Oreochromis niloticus: one gene and its partner. The protein of the gene in region 2 purifies or fractionates together with the protein of the main gene of each other region. This does not show direct contact. Links are inferred from orthologs where the notes say so. Each region holds a gene or a part of one and is shown on either strand. Other genes may lie near its edges.

Region 1 (3,754 bases), on a different chromosome or scaffold from region 2:
TTGTCTGCCACGTGTGAGAACGGGCAGCTTTTTCACAGGCCTCACCTGGCATTTTCTGGACTTTACTTGTGAAAACTTCTTATGTGGTTTAGTGCAATTATAATGTTCCAAGTGCAAAACAATACTAGTCAAAACTTGCTCATGTACTGTGATTCACACCATTTCTCAGGCTCTCACAGACTGGATGATGAGGCAGGATCCATATTCGGCATGTGCTGTCACTTTCCTCAGCACAACATAAGCAAGTTTCAACTCCTACTTAAAAAGGGTTCATTACAAAAACTAAAATTAAACTTACCTCATTTTCATGTGAACTTCCAATCACGTAAAAGAAGAGGTCTATATTGCTCTTGTAGACAACAGTGAGGCCTTCAAGTAGTGCTATTTCACCTAAAGAGGCACAAAAAACAACCATGCTCGATATTAGGTATGTATTGAGGCAAAGTAACTGTTTTTAACAGTGTAAAGATTGCTTACTGTCTGTTCTGTGTGTTTTGTTGAATATGTTCTTCTCAAATGCCTTCTGCTCCTTCACTGTTGGGTATGTGTCATCATAATACTGCAGAAATTAGAAATTAAGTCATATTTAGATATTAGTCTAAAGGTTACATAATTTTCACTAGTTTTCATTTGTATTATTAGATGATGGTAGAGGATGTCATTTTCTTGCAAACAATCAACCCAAAATGAGAAAACGAGACAATAGTGAGTCATACACATTTTAAAGGTTTACACTTTTCTAAAGTAACTGGGAGCTGTTTGAGCACATAATTTTTAATCAGGAAAAAATACAGCATTTGTTATGGGTTGAATTTTGTGTTTAATGTAGCTATGTGAGCATTTACAGAATCAGGCAGAGTGTTTTTGTTTTTTTGGTGGGGGGTTTTTGGGTGGCAAAAAGAGGTTTATTAACTGAAAATTAACTTCAGAGCAAGAGTGTTTCTATGATTTTTCTTCAAGTTCCTGTGGGCCCCTCTGCACAAACTCAGAATATTTAATCAGAATTAAAATTAGTGCAGAAAATTGGCAAAAAACCCCCCAAAACATTGGGTGACTTTCAGGCTAATGTGCAACCCTGTGTCCTGTAACATAATTATTATGGATAAAGTAGTGCTGTGCAAAACTTTAATTATACCTTTGTGTTGGATAATCCTTTCGCAACGTGAAAAAAAGTATTTAGACTTTTTATAAAGTAAAACTTATAATAATAATTAAGTAGCTTATACTGCATGAACTGTATAATAAAAATATATTCATAAAACATAAAGTAAGCATATTCATTATGTTGAATAGCACTTTTCAAAATCATTAACAGTACTATATCTGTACCACTGGATCATAATTATGGATCCATTGACATTCATATGTATCTCTTTAATGTTCAAGCTATTGATTTTAATTACCTATATATTGCAGTACCACTTGATCTATAATAATGCAATTAACCTGCAAAACAATTACAAACTAAAGCTTAAAAAATAAAGGGTAGAAATTCTAATAATTGCATCCAAAATTTATTAGCGTAAGAGCAGTAGCATGATAGAGCAATGCTTAAATTAAGTACAAATACTTTAAACCCTAAACTAAAGTACTCAAGTAAATGTTACATTACTACTGCTTCTATACATGCTTCCACGGTATTGGGCACTGCAAGATTAACAGTACTGTAGTCCAATATCATTGGTGGGGGAGCAATCATATTTCAGGCAGGGGGTGACCACCTCCAGACATGCTCTGGCTCCAGAGACCTGTTGTGTCAAACAGTGACTTCCGGTGTTTTTTTAATGTTTAATATCATTGCTTACTTTGGTAAACAGCCTGTAGTGAAAATAGTACATTTTGACCACAGGTAAATTACCTTGTGACGACAATTTTCTTTCAGGCTTAAAATGACTTGATACCATTCACAAGAGTTTGACAGATTATAGGCCAATAATTAATTTACAAGCGTTTAAATATCAGCAATGATTTTTGTCCAGTATTCACAGTTTCGCAGAAGATCACTTTTTGGCATGTCACCGGCGTTAATAATAACGAAGTAACATGATGTCACAGATGTCTGAAATTCATACCTTGGCGTAAAGCCGGTCTCCATCGTTGTCCAGAATGAGAACAGCTTTCACCGTGTATAAGGAAGGTTCCTGTGAAGACAGCACACGTTAGGCATTGTTTTATCCTACACAGGAACGAATTCACCTTAATAATTCTTTAAATATGTGGCAACTCGTATGTTAAATAATAAACATGAACTATCAAAAAGGCGACGGTGGACGTGCAAGTAAGTTGAATAAATTGGGTGTCGACTGGCGTCACAAAATCAGTCTAAATGTTATTTAAAAGACTTCTTAATCACCAAATCGTGAAGGAGACATGACAGTTCCACATCATCAACAAACGCATACGAGCTAACTTTAGATGCTAGCTCCTTAGCTAACACGGCCAACCCGTTCACTGTAGTTAGCATTGAGTTTATTCGACTGCTCTCTAAATGACTCTACAACACAAAACTGCGAGAAACATTTTGCTAGTAAATACTTATGTGAAGTACTAACGAGGTAACGCTCGTGGCTTTTACATCGTCAGAAATAAATAAATGGGCTAACATTACCAGTATGGGAGAATCCATCTTCTTTCCTGTTAGCAAACCAGCTACCGGGCTAGCAGCATTAGGCTACGTATTACGTACAGTAAATGAGTCTCTTTCCTATTGGCTGACGCAGTGCCGTATGTTGTGCGTGCAGGGCAAAGATCAGTTCACTGCAGAGCAAGCAGCCACAAAAGAGCTGAAACTCAAAAGCGATGTGGTTAATAAAGAAGTACTTTCAGACTCGCCTGTAGTTATAACACATTTGCCTTTTAAGTCGGGAAAGTCTGAACCTTTTAATGGCCCAAACGTAAAGCTAAACAAGTTATTAACTAACTTTATTACTGTAATTTCGGACTGTATCTTGTTACTGTGTAAAATATGAAGATTACTAACCCCATTAGACTTACAATAAAACCTAAATTCATTCGTGGTTGAAACCGTAAATCCAAACATGTAAATGCCTTTAGTAGCTCGTATGAACTTCTTAAAAAAAACACGTGTAAGTCAGGATGTTTATTTTAGAGTTCACATCCCTGCAGAGCTTACTGTAATTAAACCTAATGACTAAAGGTGGTTGCTGTTTTTGTAGGACTTAGTGGTAACCAGAAATCTCTCGTTTTACAAGCCATTTTAGCTTGCTCGTACTCATCAACATCTTTTTTCAGTATCCTCCTACATTTAACCAACTCCAATTATCTTAGTTCCCACTTCTGGGAAGCATTTGGAAACACAGGCAGATGGGGATTTCCCTCTATCTAACTCCATAAATTACATCATTGTTTGGCCTTACTGTAGGATATTTTTGGGCTTCAAATATCACTGGAAAGCAAATAATGTCCAGCCATTATTTAACTGCAGAACGTGTATTGTGAGGAGATACCAACTATTCTTATGCGTGTTCACAAGAGGACTGTGGGAAACTATGAAATGTTGCAACACTGCAGTATGCTTGCACAAATTTAGCCACTACGATTTCAAAATTGCCTTGACCAGAGAGGAAACTGTATACTGCCTTGAACTAGCTCATACTAAAAGGTTAAAATATCGCCTGATATTGTCATGCCATCTCATCACAAAGTTAAACTTATTTTTATTCTTTTTTGTGTTTAAAAAGCATCACAGTGGTGACGATGACTGGCAAAGCTGACTGATTTCTGAAAGTTGAAT
Region 2 (3,754 bases):
CTTTGCAAACTGACTTCTATCCAAACCTGCCTGTGTGTGCTTACCACACGGGAAAAGAGTCTGAGTGTCTCCAGGTCCTCCAGGATGTTGCTGTTCTTGGTGGTGATAAGGACCATGTAGAGCTTCTCCAGTGGCTGGTACACATAGCGAACGCTGTCTGTTTCCACAAAGGTGTGCTGCTTGCCCGTGTTCATCAGTTTAGGAAATGCAGCTAGGAGACCCTCAATTCGTGTCCGGGTCATTTCCACAAACTGCCGCGATACGATGGCCTTGCCGGCCTTGGTGCACACCGCCGCTGCCAACAGCACCTGAGGGGTAAAGAGGAATTTGACTGCTTTAGTTTCCCACAGACCTGAACTATTACAACTAAAGATGCACTAATCGGACCAACATCTATGCTCATAACAACAACAGGAAGGTCAGCGAATGTCAAAATTCAATATTTTTTTTTTAATGTAAAATTTTCTTTTCTATTCCAAAGAAACAAGAAAAAAACAAAACAACCAAAAAACAGATCTTCATCACACTTGCTGAGGATTCATTCATCAGCAGGAAATCTACAACATAGGTACACTGTGACTGCAAACTACTTGGAAACCCTACATCTTAACCTGACGTGCTCCTGTCTAAAAATGCAACAACACGTTACGTTGACACAACCAGAAACAACTGTGATTGTTCAATACCACTGATCCTTCCTGTGAATTTGTGCTACTTTTTGCTGTAGTCTTTGATTTAGAGAATATCAATCATCATCTACATATAAGGAATAATAATCATAGTAAATAAGAACACACATTTCACCAAATTACAGGAGGAAGATTGATGAAACTATCAGAGTGAACACGAGGAAATGTACAAAGAAGTGGAAAACCACATTGAGGAGTGGAGACTCAGGAGCAAAAAGTCTTATTTGTTTTCGTCATAGCTGACACCACATATAAAACCCAAGAAACGAGCACAATGTAATTAACACATAATGCACCAGCACACAAATGCTGATAACAGTGGCCACTTACATAGGTTACATCGTTGGCTCTTCAAAGATCCACTGTAGAAGTCTAAGTCAGCCATTATCCAATGCTAACCTGATGTGGCCTACACTCAGTTAGGTCAATATCAGCTGATTCTGATACTTAGCCGATACAGTGAAGTCAGAAAAACCAGACAAGAGTACTTGTCATTTGATATATTGGTGCTCTCCTGATTACACACGGCTGTAGTTGTTTGAGGACGTTACTAAAAGCACATGAACTAACTGCTGTTTGCCTTTCTCTTAGGTGAGCGAATCTTACAAGTCCAGCTTCTTCAGGTTTCACTTTAAGGGGCTGGGACAGTTAAAAGCCTTGAACAAATCTCAACAATCTTCATCTTTTACCTATAAAGCGAGCAATTCACTCCAAATGTACTCACACCCTTCAAAGCCTCCTACCAGTTTCAGACTTGGTGCAAGAAGACAGTATGAGAGAAGATACGCCATGTATGTTGAATGTGGGAACCAGAAAGTTAGGTTTTGGTTAGAATACACGTTTTGCTTGGAATGAAGCAAAACTATGCTAAAGCTCACAGATACTTTGAGCTGGTCCTTGGTAAGGCCAACGACAGCTAGTGCAGATGTTAGCACAATGGAAAATGATCTTATAAAAGAATCGGGGGTCGTTTAATATAATGAGTATAACAATGGTTGACATAAACGGACGCTTTATGTGGCTGTGCTAAATGAATGAAGGAACTGCACTGATTCCACGTTGACAATAGAAATGGAAGACCCGATCGCACCGATGTGAACTCGATAAAGACGAGCAGCAACTTTGGTTATCGAAGTCGTCGACACTAGCTAACTATAATAACACAGTTGTACCTATAGTTGGGGTTTGTCGCAGAGCCGGGCTCGGTTTAACCTGGCTTATTACAGTCTGACAGCAGGCAGTGGTTGCACGGATCCGGCTACTGACAGGAGACAACTAGCGCTAGCCTCCAAAGCTAGTTCACGTCAGCACGGACTGCACAGCTAAAGCGCTTCACTCCGGTGAAATTCGACTTTGACGACTCATTTACTCGATTTTAGCACCTGAACATGTCGCTAACACTGTGGCTCCGATAAAAAAAGAACCGTTTATTATTTGTCTTCTTTCGTTCATGAAAGGGAAGAAGCTAGTTTTCTCATACCTAGCTTTAGCTACTAGCCAATGTTATGATAGTTGCTAGGCCCGATAAAAGGCAGGGAAATAATGGTCACTTTCGACTGTCACTCACCATTGTGGTCTCTCTCTACGGCACGACGGTCGTCAGTCTCTCGCGTTTCTTGCTTTGGTGATTCCTCGTCCCTCTGGAATGGCAAGGTGCGAATATACAGCTGACTTCTAGTTGTGTGATTGTTAGCTAGTTAGCGTCAATATGGCAGCAGCACAGAGCCACGTCTCCACCGGAAGAGCCGCGCTGGATCAGCCCACCGTGGAAACCAATGACGTGGGCCCCAAAATGTTGGCCTTGTTGCATAAAGAAGTTACTCAGATTACTTCCACCGGCGTTTCTTTCTTCTTTAGACTTCTGTGCGGTACTGACCACAAATTACCTTCACGCGATTACTTTTAACGTTTATCAGCGTATCAATAACCTGGCAAACACATAAATATTATCCAGAGAGATTGTCAGAGTAGTTCTGAGTGATAGCATTTCACGTCTGAGGGGACTGGTCTCCGGGATGAAAACGCCTTCACCCACAGAGCACACGGGGGGGTCGTATAAAAAAAGAATTATATGCTACAGTCCTCATAGTGCAGGCAGTGCTCTCCACCATCATCGTCAAAAACACCAAATTCATCCCATCTAATGCAACATATGATACAATTAGGCTTTTCTCTTTGTTGTCCTTAATTTCTTTATGTTACATTTTAAAACTTAATTGTAAACATAAATATTCTCATTGGGCATTTATCACATGACGGGGGGTGGAGGTGGGGTGGGCACCGAACTACCGATAAGTAAGCTGTCAAGCATGTGAGAAATGTACTAACATGTTGCAGATATATTATGGAATTTATTTTTTTCTTTTAAGTTTAAGTTCCAAACATGTTGAATTCTGTTTTTTTTTTCTATTATTATCATTAAAGAAAGAAAAGTAAACATTTACTCCAACAATCCATTCTTCTGCTTATCCAGTTCCACGACTGGCTGGAACTTATTCCAGCTATGATGGGTTAGGGTACCCTGCACCCTGGATATGTCTGTCACAGGGCTAACACACACACAGACAGACAACGTTCACACATACAATCAATTTCCAACTTCCTGTTTTGTTGTACTATCGTAGTAGGTGTGACTGTGCATGGACAATAAAGAGTTATCCAATTAAACTTTGGGCTGTGGGATTAATGGCCAGACAGAAGATTAGTTACTGGAGATAATTATTAAATTGTTAAAGATATAGAAGAAGAAAATTGCCTTGCACTAGCATGTTTTATTTGGCTAATATTAACATAATAATATTCACTTATATTTGACATTAATTAGTATGTTAATATTTTGATCATTTAGTTAAAAATATACAGACTTCTTTATTTGCATCGGTGGAGGAGTGCAGTATGAAATATTTTAGTTTATGGAAAATAATGGGTTTGATAGCTTATAGACGAGGTGCAACATTTTAAGCAGACAGTTTGAGCAGACAGCATTTTTTATTTAATTTAAATGCACGTGTAAGCAAGATGCTGGTGGCAGCAACACTTTTAGATATTCAGAAAGTTCTTAGGGA

Evidence for each region. The genes of interacting proteins can lie anywhere in the genome.
Region 1: the proteins of arcn1b (region 2) and copz1 fractionate together in Homo sapiens (co-fractionation; 5 studies listed by BioGRID and IntAct, with this or other methods). This does not show direct contact. The link is inferred for Oreochromis niloticus from reciprocal best matches to the Homo sapiens genes ARCN1 and COPZ1.

The regions. Positions count from the first base shown.
Region 1 is NC_031984.2:19,116,619-19,120,372, forward strand, and holds the start of copz1 (coatomer subunit zeta-1), read right to left. Parts: upstream 2,765-3,754; 5' UTR 2,627-2,764; coding exon 2,609-2,626; intron 2,142-2,608; coding exon 2,073-2,141; intron 560-2,072; coding exon 478-559; intron 391-477; coding exon 299-390; intron 1-298. UniProt on the Homo sapiens protein: The coatomer is a cytosolic protein complex that binds to dilysine motifs and reversibly associates with Golgi non-clathrin-coated vesicles, which further mediate biosynthetic protein transport from the ER, via the Golgi up to the trans Golgi network.
Region 2 is NC_031979.2:1,083,017-1,086,770, forward strand, and holds the start of arcn1b (archain 1b), read right to left. Parts: upstream 2,662-3,754; 5' UTR 2,260-2,661; coding exon 2,257-2,259; intron 309-2,256; coding exon 45-308; intron 1-44. UniProt on the Homo sapiens protein: Component of the coatomer, a cytosolic protein complex that binds to dilysine motifs and reversibly associates with Golgi non-clathrin-coated vesicles, which further mediate biosynthetic protein transport from the ER, via the Golgi up to the trans Golgi network.